Linked DNA regions of Danio rerio. The protein of the gene in region 2 purifies or fractionates together with the protein of the main gene of each other region. This does not show direct contact. Links are inferred from orthologs where the notes say so. Each region holds a gene or a part of one and is shown on either strand. Other genes may lie near its edges.

Region 1 (5,346 bases), on a different chromosome or scaffold from region 2:
GAGATTTTGAATAGGAATATGAAGAACCACTGTAGGAGGAACCCCTGTAAGGGGATTTGGATCTGGAAAAAATGTAATTGAAAATTTAGTTGATGCCAGACATCATTTAACAAAATTGACAGTTTGGTGGGTCAATCTGTCAATTTAATTTTTACCTCGAGTAGGATCGCCTTCTCTCCTTCTGGATTTTTCTATACTCCAAAAGCTCTTTGGCAAAGTCATTGGTGAACTCCTCAAGTTTGGACTTCTCCCTGGTAACGAATCGACATTGGGAACTATTTATCAAAGACAGGAAGGAAATAAAACTTTGCAGTTAAACCTTGGAAATACATTACAACAGAAATGACAATAAGCACGGGCAAAGAAGAATAATACTCTACAGACAATACTTAAAAACCCAATAACTACTTACTCCTCCTTCAATCGACGCTGCTGACGATAAAACTCCTCCTTGGATAGAAAAGGTGCAGCTGGCATAGCAGAGATAGGGTTGGCTATAGGTGGCTGAGGGCCAGGAGGCACCCATGGAGCAGTCACATTAGGTGGAACAGGAGGAAATACAGGAGGAGGAATGTTGAAGGAAGGAGGTGGTGGCTGCTGTCCTTGAGGAAATTGTATGGGATATTGCTGAGAAACAACAACAGGTGGCTGTGGCATAGGATGTGGAGGAGGTGGAAAAAGAGCAGGGGGCACAAATACTGGAGGGACTACAGGAGGAAGATTTTGCACTGGTTGAGGCTGTATTCTTGGTGGCCTCTCACTCTGAAGTCTACCTCTACTCGTGGACCTGGTAGGATAAATAAAAGTCAGGATTTTTCACATTTGTTGTTTAAAACTAAAATGTATTAGATTACACTTTGATACTTACGGATCCCATCCAGAACGACTTCCAGATGGCCTTTGACCACTACTCCTTTGGGGTCCTAAAAAAAATGTACAAATTAAATATTGTCTACAGACAATAAATATCAGAAGACTTGCTGTTATCATCTTACCTGGTCTGTGCATGTGCTGCTGAGGCAAACTCGGTTTTCCAATTACAGGGACATGATATCCCTAGATAATACAAATAAAAGGAATCAATAAACTGTGCTTATAGAAGAGGGTCAACTGACATAGGTCATATTGTATCAGAAATATCAGGACATTTATTGTTTTACAACTGCAGTACTTATGTTCTCAACATCGTTTGTGGCTTTCAAAGTTAGTGTACTCCCCTCTGGCATTAGTAATTTTAAAAGCACATACTAAAAGGAGGAAAAAATACCTTTGGAACAGCAGAATTTGTAGACATAGATGTCTCAGATGAAGGTATAACAGCAGATGGTGGGGTCTCTGGTTCTCTGAAAAACACAGGGTAAAAATTCAATAACTGCACAAGCCAAAGGTAAAACCAGTCATTCACAAATTACACAACCAAGCGATCATCTGAAGTGCTATAAAATTCTTACTTGGATGGAGGAGGGTCATCCTGCCTAGTAGGGTGCGGAGGAGAGTTTACCACAGGACTATAGTTTGACCCTGCAGGTGCAGTGCTGCTGTGTACAGTAGAGCTGCTGGAAGAAGGTGGGGTGCTGGAAGGCTCGTGAGTGCTAACAGGAGATAAAGGGGCAGCAGGTGTGCTTTGTGGAGGGGTGCTATCAGCCGCTGAGCTTGGAACACTGGGTATCAGAGGATCCTGCTGGCGTCTCATAGGAGGACGTTGAGCAGGAGCTTGTTTTTGAGCTCCTTGAGCAACTGCTTGAGTAGCTGTAGCTTTTCGAATCCTCTTGGTATATCCAGTTTCATTCTTAAAGTTATTCACTGCCTTAAGTTGAAAAAAAAAAAGAATGATAAAGTCGTCTTAATGTTGCAATATTAGATAAAAACTAGAGACATGTGCTAACCAACAATTAAAACAAGGATATCTTACTTGGCGCAAGAATTTGTTTGCAATCAAGGCATCGGGGGATACATCTGATTGTTTGCAGGTTGGACAAACATGTTCTTCAGATTCCAGCAAACATGTTCGAATACCTGTGGTCACAATACAGTTTTAGCTTTCCAAGGTCAAAAACACTTTACCTTTTTGACATTTGTTGATATAGACACTTACAATCGTCACAGTAACTATTTCCACAGCAGGGAATAACCACAGCATCTGTCATAAGATCCTTGCAGATCAAGCACAGCAGCTCATCAGGTACTGGATCTTCTTCCTCTGAGGATGAGGACTGATTCTGGGGCAAGAATGGTGGCTTTTCTTTTTTGCCAATGGCATAGGCCTCACTATACATAGCAAGCAAAATATAATTAAAAACTACAAAGTAAACTACAAGTATACTACAAGTAAACAAGAAATTATCACAATCATTTACAGCAAGGCCAAGCATACTCACGCATCAATAGTAGGAATGGCATATATTCCACTGTTTGTCAACATGACACCTTTTCTGTTTGGATCATCAACCTCCACCATGAAACTCCGAGGTATTCCTGTGCTTTTCTTTATCCGTTGAGGAGCTTCAAAACTTCTATCCTGCTAAAGCATGATTGATACTCAAGATTAAATTTAATCTCCGATAAATTCTAATGGTATAAAAAAAAAAGACATAAGTCTGGAGCAACAGTTGGCACTGCCAAATTCAAAACAATTGCAAAGTTACAAGCTGTGGTAATGAAAACCCAATTACCCCATTTGTTGGGCAGTTTCGGATGTAATGTCCAGTTTTCCCACAACGAAAGCATGTATAGTTTGGTGGAGGCGGACCAACAAGCTTCTTTGCATAACTAACAAATAGAGATTAATGTTAGAATTGATTCTGAAACCAATTAAAAAAGCCTGTCAGTGTCTTGACATGCATACTTACTGGATTGGATCATAGTCATGGTTGGACTGAGACATCATTGCTTTTATTTTGTCTTCCTCTGATGCATTTGTTTCAGCAAGATTGGCTGTCTGTTTAACAGGCAATGTTTTCAAAAATAAAATAAATGTTGGAGTGTTCAACGGAGTAGACCAAATACATACAAAAACCTTGTCCTGTAAGAAGCAGCTTTATGCCTTTATAGAAGTGTGTTATTTAAAAGTACAAAAATGGCAATTGAGCACCACCTCAGACCATAAAAATGAGAAACAAAATGCATAAAAAAATTTTTTAACTACAGCAAGCCAGCAAAAAAAAAAAAAGCCATAATCAAGAGTTACCAAGTCTCATGCAAGACTCAACACTGGCTACTTTCATGAACTAAAAGTGGTTTAAGAGATGTTTTATGATGGTTCGGTTTTATTGATGAGTAGATCTCTTTTGAAGGTGCGAAATGAACAATATTTCACACTAAGTCATGACATAAACCACTACACAGCACCAAAAATATTCAGGGCATTGGTCTGAAATTCATATATGCAAATGCTGCAAAATCTTGGTAATTATTTTTTTTTTGTCATTGCATGAAGAATATAAAAAACAATGGTTAACATGTAAATATTTTCGGAGTGAAAAATGAAGAACATGACTTCCTAAGATTGCTCATTGAACAACAAGTGATGCAGGGCTCTCAAATGTGAAAAAAGAAAAAAAAGATTAAAAAAAGGATTTCAGGGTGCAACTTGACCACAATGTGGTCAAGAGGCTTATACAGTTCTCCAATACACACTGATATAAGGCAGTGTGCTTACTCTTTACAGGACCAGGCTTTTACACAGGTACCAAAAAAAAAAAAAAAAAAAAAAAAAAAAAAAAAAAAAAAAAAAAAAAAAAAAAAAAAAAAAAAAATCGCAACAATATACACACACATTTAAAATAAGTATTGAAATACTACAGAAATATAACTAATTTTAATTAAGTTGCTGAAAAACATAAAATTTCACATTACACAACAAATTTCACATAACACCATATAAACAAATGTGACAAAGTAAAAAAAAAAAAAAGTTTTGCACACTTTGCCAATATTGTGGCTTGCCCAATCTAAAACAATGACATAACACACAGCAGAGTGTATCAGGTAGTTACAAAGTTTAAAATACCTTTGAAAGCAGGGCCAGTGAAATGGATGAAGAATCAATCTGTCATTGGAAAAAACATTAAAACAAAGAGGGGTTCACCACTACGTCAAGGCACAACTTTATCATGCCCATCAGTGAGAAACTGGACAAATGTGTAAAGTTAAAATAATTTAAACACGTAAACAATTACTACCAAATTTTAAATGACACATGAAAGTGTTATTTTTTTTTTGTTATGTTGTTTTTTAATTAAGTCCTGATTTAATTTTAACATTACATGTTATGTTTAACTAGATCATAACCAGTTAATAAATATGAGTTAATTAGTTTTGAAAAAACAATAAGTATAGCTTCATAGTCATTAGGCTAATTACTTGTGACCAAGAAAGGAATTGATCAAAAAACCCTAAGGAAAGTGAACAGACTGGGCCTTAAAAAAGATTTGAAGGAATTAAACATTGAAGTTTTATTGCAAAGCCTTGCAGGTAAATCAAATAGAAAAGCAATTGAATCAGATATAAAAAGTAACTATAATACAACAGGCCATATAGAATATGAAATGTGCATTTAAAACTTCACTGGAATGAGATACTTTTTTCAAACTGTCCTACATAAAAGTTCCCCTTTGAAGGTCACTGCTTTTATAGGCAGTTTCAGTCTCAACATCACATATGTACATTGAAAAACTACAAGTTTGATCAAAGCAATAATAAACATAAAATAGTACAGCATAATAGAAGCTGTCACAGGAAAACTCAGAAGCTGTTTTGCATACAATCGGAAAAAACACATCAAAAATGTAAAACAGGTACAAACAGTGACATGATTCAAATATGAAAGATTTGTCTGGCATTAAAGTACAAAAAAAGTTTAAACAAATTCACATTTAAGCTCAATCGGTAATCAGAATGACAATGTCTGAAAGTTCATTAAATATGTTGCAAACTGTAAATATGTTGTACTCAAGTATCACTCATATTAAAAAGACAACCTCATGAATAATAATAAAAAAAAACAGTTTGAACCAAAATACGTCCTTTATCATACACTGGACTAAAATTTTACAAAAACTAATTTCACAAATTTTAAAATAACAAACCTGCCACGATTTTAATTAGCTCAAATAGATTCATATTAGATATAGGGAGAGGGGGTGTTCTCTCATCAAATATTATTTTATCTTATCTCTGTGGTAAAATGTTGTGTCAATGTCTAGTCAAATGTAAAAAGTTTTTAGTGTAAGCATAAAAATGTCTGTATCAGCCTTAACTACAGCGATGATTAGCACTTTCAAAAGGAAAATTAAATAAATGGGTTATATGCACAGACTTTTCATTTCAGCAAGCCAGCCAGCCCCA
Region 2 (5,346 bases):
GACATAGATCTCATCACACACCTAATTAGTACCATTGTATTTGAGACTAAAATCAATTTCTGTTTGCATCACAACACGCTGAAAGCAAATGGTCTGTTCTGATACTGTTTTCTGGCACCTTTCTGGACTTTGAATGAGTCTGAAACCTAGCTGTCTTTGAAAGAAGCTTTCCAATTTCATCGAAGATATCTTAATTTGCATTCCGAACACAAAGAAAGGTCTCAGGGGTTTGAAATAACACGAGGGGGAATAATAATACTAATAAAAAAACATTTTGGGTGAATTCGCCCTTTAATAGTACACAATTTAGTCTCTTTTACCTCCAAACTGACTTGGAACAAAACTTTGCCTTTTCGTTTCTCAGCAATTTTTTTATATGCACATGCAGGGCCCTTTAGTGTCATATTTATCCATGACAGGCTTAAAACTGCTGAGGTACTAGCATAAACAAGCAATAAGCAAAACATTGTTTCAATAGCTACTATTGTTAAAAAGCATATCCATATTTAACCCGTATGTATAACCCAATACATATTTATTTAGTCAATACTGCAAACTACCCAAGCTGTCTTAATTACTACATTCACAAGAAATGGGATAAGAGTCATTTGAGACACAACAAGGTTCTATGAAGTCAAATCAATTAGGTGTGAATTTCTCTCTACTCAGACTGGTAAATGACACCATACCAGTATCTTGGAAAAGGCTTACAAAAAGATCATTGACCCCCCTTGAGGTGTTCTGGAAAAACAAGATGGAATATTGCCCATGTTTTGTGGAATCTTGGCTTCATTAATGAAATGTGAATCTCTTTCTATCTAGGAAAAAAAAAGAGCTGACCTGTCATGACCAACAATGGTGTAGCCATGAGATACAAACAACCTGGAAATTTCCCATAAAGTGACCATAATCTAAACATGCAATCTGAGTCTGTGGTTATGCAAGTGCAGCACATTGATAAAGAAGTTAGTGTGTGAGGGGAAACACGAAAAGACTATTGTGATAATGTCAGGAAAGACCATAGCGCTGGAAGATTCAGAGTCCATGAACTTCCAAACAGCTTGCTGTATACAGTGAAAGTAACAACAGTCTTTAGCTCCTCAATTTGTAATGAACTCTCAGTTCCACAAATGCAGATACTCGCAATTAGCACATCAAAACTGTAGCTTATTTCTGCACTTCTCACTTCTAAATAAAAGAACCAATATGGTGTTCATGCAAATCCAAAACCACAGCTTGTGTCAACTTAAAATCTGACAGACCAGCATAAAACAAAACAGATACTCGAATGAATTCAAAATGCCAAAGGATTTTGTAGTCAAATTATGAATCCATTAAAAAATAAGTATCAACTAGGGGTGTGAATCTACACTGGTCTCATGGTTTGGTTATGATGATCATGCCATCAATTTAGTTCAATTCGATATATTGGTGCATCACGGTGCATTGACGATGCTTTCCATCCACAGTTTTATATTTTACTTAGCAATACATGAATTCTTGTACAAAACATTTATAATTTATGAATAAATTTATATTTATATATTATTTATAATACAATTTTGTCCTTTAATACAAGCAGTCAGATATATGAACTGCACCTTTAATTTTTATCTGCTCAAAGAAAACACTCTTCTTAAATGCATCAAGCAAAACTCAAGAACATGCACAAAAAAACACGAGCAGTTATAGCAAATATACTAATGTAAATAATATCCCGCTTGCTTTTTGAGCGTTGTTGAGCGAGTTCTTAAACGCCTGTGATTAATTACGCATTCAACAGAAAGGGCTGCTTTTGGCTCTTGCGCTTTTTAGCAAACAGTGACAGACACAGATGTTAAACGGCCTCAGCGATCAGCTGATCCCCTATAAACAGCAAAGCAGAGGAGAAAGCCCGATCTGCAGACACGCTCGTATCTGGATCCACAAGTATAGTTATTCAGACCCCCTAGTTTTTCTTGATTCCACAATTGCTGAATCCTCATCCTGCAAAATTCCTAATTTGAATGCAAAATAAAACTCGCAAAAATACATATATAATCTCATAAAACATTCATATAATCAAATTATATTTATTTCAGTTTGCAATTAATTGTTTTACAAGACTTACAGACAATGCATACGCAGCACACGTGATGTATTAGAGTATCTCTCATTACATGGGAGTGGGGGAGAAATTATTTTGCAGCCTGTGCAGTGAGCAGATGTGGATGAAGCGCGAGTGATTTACATGTGAAGTCACTGCAAAGATTGGATTAGACATCCTGTGGCACAAATTGTGCTTTTTTTGCATTTGATGCACTTCAGACTAGAGGTCTGCATTCGACCAGAGCATGATCATGCAGATCATGCGGGACCCGACCAGATTTCTGCGGCGCGGGAATTTATTTCCAAATAACTCGCGGGAGCGAGATGATGTCAAATGCTCTAGGGAGTGAAATCTGAGAGAAACTAAGATTGTGGCTAAAATAAGAGTTATACAACCTTCCTTTGGCTTAATCCTTACTGTTTTAGATCTGATCTTGTCTGAGACCAAAATAAAAAAAAGCTTTTTTTTTATAATTTGTGTCATTGTGTAAGATTGCACACCTAACACAGCAGGCTGCCTAATATGGTAAATTATATATATATATATATATATATATATATATATATATATATATATATATATATATATATATATATATATATATAGTCATATTTAATTGCAATAAATATAATAAATAAATAAATAAAATGAAAAATAAATCACAAGAAAAAATTTGTGTAAAACTCGGAAGTCTGGTTAATGTTGTAACAGCCAAAAAAGGAGATAAAACATTATCTCATGATCATGCCAGCAGGTCAAAGCGGCCACAGAGAGTGAGTGAAAAAGAGTTTACAGCTTTTATTTATTCCTAGCTGGGTTCTGATGTACTTCTCTGATGTACTCATAAGCAATGAATTGTGTACGGTTACTGAACCGATACCAAATTGTTTGCGTCTGCATTGAAGAAACAATTAATTAACTCTAAATATTATCTACCTATGAACTTAACCCAAAAAAGCTATTACTGTAAAAAAAAATGTAATGACAAAAAGTCAAAACAAATATTTTTATGTTGCTTTAACTTATCTTAATAAGTTAATCAAATCAAACAAAACTTTTTAAAGTTAAACCAAGTTTCTTGTAGGATACAGATGTTAATTTTTGATGCGATTAATTGAGTAAGAAAGAAAATAAATGCTTGATGGTGAAAGACTTCCAATTTTTGTTTCTTTTGCATTTTTATTACAAGACAAAGTAATATAATAAGAAAAATTCATAAATAAGAAAACAAATGATAAATAGCATAACTTAGTTGTAATAAAAAAAATGCAAGATAAATGCAAGTTGAGATGACAAAAAAGTTGAAGCATCAATAATTTTTTACAGTGTTGTAATCCTCCTTTTCAGATTCAAAAATTGCGCACAAGTAAGCTACATAGCAAATTATACTATACAAACTGGTATAAATCTGCACAGATTTTTTTGCTTTTTAATGTGCAACGAGCATTAGACACTATGACTCCTTTGTTAGTATCCCAATTGAGAGTATTGTGAATTTTTTTAACTCACCTTGGTGGCATGTTTGTGGGCGATCGTGGTTTGAGCGTCTTCTCCTTCTCGTCTTTTTTCTCTCTTGGCTCTCGAAGAGGTCTTTCTCTCGGCCTTCCCTCCTTTTCGTCTCGTTTCAGACGATCCCTGTCCCATTCATCCTTCCTACGTCGGCTGTCCTTCTCCCGTTCCCGTTCTCTCTCCCTCTCTCGCTCTCTCTGTCTGCGCTCCCGTTCACGGTGGTCTCTCTCACGCTCCCGCTCCCTCTCACGGTGCCGCTCACGTGGATCTCGTTCCCGCTCTCGGTCCTGATAAAAACAAAAAAATCTCTATGTTTAGCATTTGAAATGAACACTAGATTCTGATCAAAATACAGCAACTTAAATGTCATTATTTTTGTCAATTAAATACATGTCACTATTATGTAATATAACTTTGGACATCAAAACCTTTGCTCTTAAGTATCAGCTAATATGTAATATATAAACCAAACTGATTCATCTAGTTTGATCCGCAAGTCTCCAGAAAAGACATGATCAGGGATGTAATGACTCAGGGGAATGGGTTGAAAATTGATGCAAGTGTGTGACAATTCCAATCAGTTGGGATTTTAAGTGAATAGATTCATGATAAATGTTTTATGTAACAGCTAACAGTTGTGTGTACTGCCCACTTGATTAACCGTAAAGCTGCTTTGAAACAATTATTGTAAAAAGCACTATATAAATAAACTTGAGTTTAATTGACTTAACGTGTACTAGTGGCAAACAAGAGCAACGATCTCCACCGGTTTTTACCAGTTCAAATTTGTACGTTTAAATGGATGACAGTAAACATGACAAGTAGTGAAGAGAACAAAGCTGACAACAGGTATGTTTCCATCCAATAATGCGAATGAACTTTATGTGTAAAACTAGACTATCTCATAAAAGCCGCGCAAACAAAGCAGCGTTTCCATCCAACTAGTCAAAGCCTACAAAAATTAACTGGCACCAAACACCAACAGTAAAAACTAAATTTGCTGCAGTGGGAGAAGCTGCGTCAATCTTTTCATCTAATAGATGACTTGGCGCCTCAGAACACAATCCTGACACTCAGTAAATGCGCGGTGGCATTTGAAGGTGTCAGACACGAAGCACAGAAGCTCTTGATTCTGGAGGTCATTAACAATATAATAACACTAATACTGAGATGGTTGAGGCATTAAAATGCAAAGAAATAAACAGTAATTTAAGCCTTGCTACATTTGTAATTCCATAAACACATAACCACAATTTATATCATTATAAAGATAATCGTGTTCATATAAACACTATAAATAAAGACTTTTCCCTCAATCCCCGGGTCTGAATGCAGACTCAGTGCAGCAGGTCTCTTGCCCTGTCTAATTTAACCATTAGCCCAGCTGATAATCTAGAGGATTTAGGCAAACACAGCAGCACATTGATGTGTCTAAATGTGAATGGACTCCTGATAAAAGATAAAGTCCACCATTCTCCAATTCTCGTACTGCTCTCCTGACAAAAATGCTTGCAGCACACACAGCTTTGCTGTATAGTCCCTGACAGGGTCGCGGGGAAAAAACATGCAAAAAAAACCTGTGGATCAAGGAAACAAACACATACGACCCTTCATGAACAGCTAAATACTGTGTGCCGTGGGTCCATGGACGCGTCTTACCCAGTCATCAACGTAGGATCTCACAGCTTGGCACTGGCAGGTCTGCCTTGCCTTCGGAAAGCACATGCTCTCATAAATAATTAAGAAGC

What was found.
Region 1: the proteins of zc3h18 (region 2) and rbbp6 purify together in Homo sapiens (affinity purification with mass spectrometry; 3 studies listed by BioGRID and IntAct, counting the BioPlex papers as one, with this or other methods). This does not show direct contact. The link is inferred for Danio rerio from reciprocal best matches to the Homo sapiens genes ZC3H18 and RBBP6.

What each region holds. Positions count from the first base shown.
Region 1 is NC_133178.1:34,270,102-34,275,447, reverse strand, and holds part of rbbp6 (E3 ubiquitin-protein ligase RBBP6), read right to left. Parts: intron 4,049-5,346; coding exon 4,010-4,048; intron 2,939-4,009; coding exon 2,850-2,938; intron 2,770-2,849; coding exon 2,673-2,769; intron 2,522-2,672; coding exon 2,379-2,521; intron 2,269-2,378; coding exon 2,096-2,268; intron 2,017-2,095; coding exon 1,913-2,016; intron 1,808-1,912; coding exon 1,452-1,807; intron 1,344-1,451; coding exon 1,268-1,343; intron 1,057-1,267; coding exon 996-1,056; intron 924-995; coding exon 869-923; intron 788-868; coding exon 413-787; intron 276-412; coding exon 156-275; intron 63-155; coding exon 1-62. UniProt on the Homo sapiens protein: E3 ubiquitin-protein ligase which promotes ubiquitination of YBX1, leading to its degradation by the proteasome.
Region 2 is NC_133193.1:18,511,456-18,516,801, forward strand, and holds part of zc3h18 (zinc finger CCCH domain-containing protein 18), read right to left. Parts: intron 3,886-5,346; coding exon 3,599-3,885; intron 1-3,598.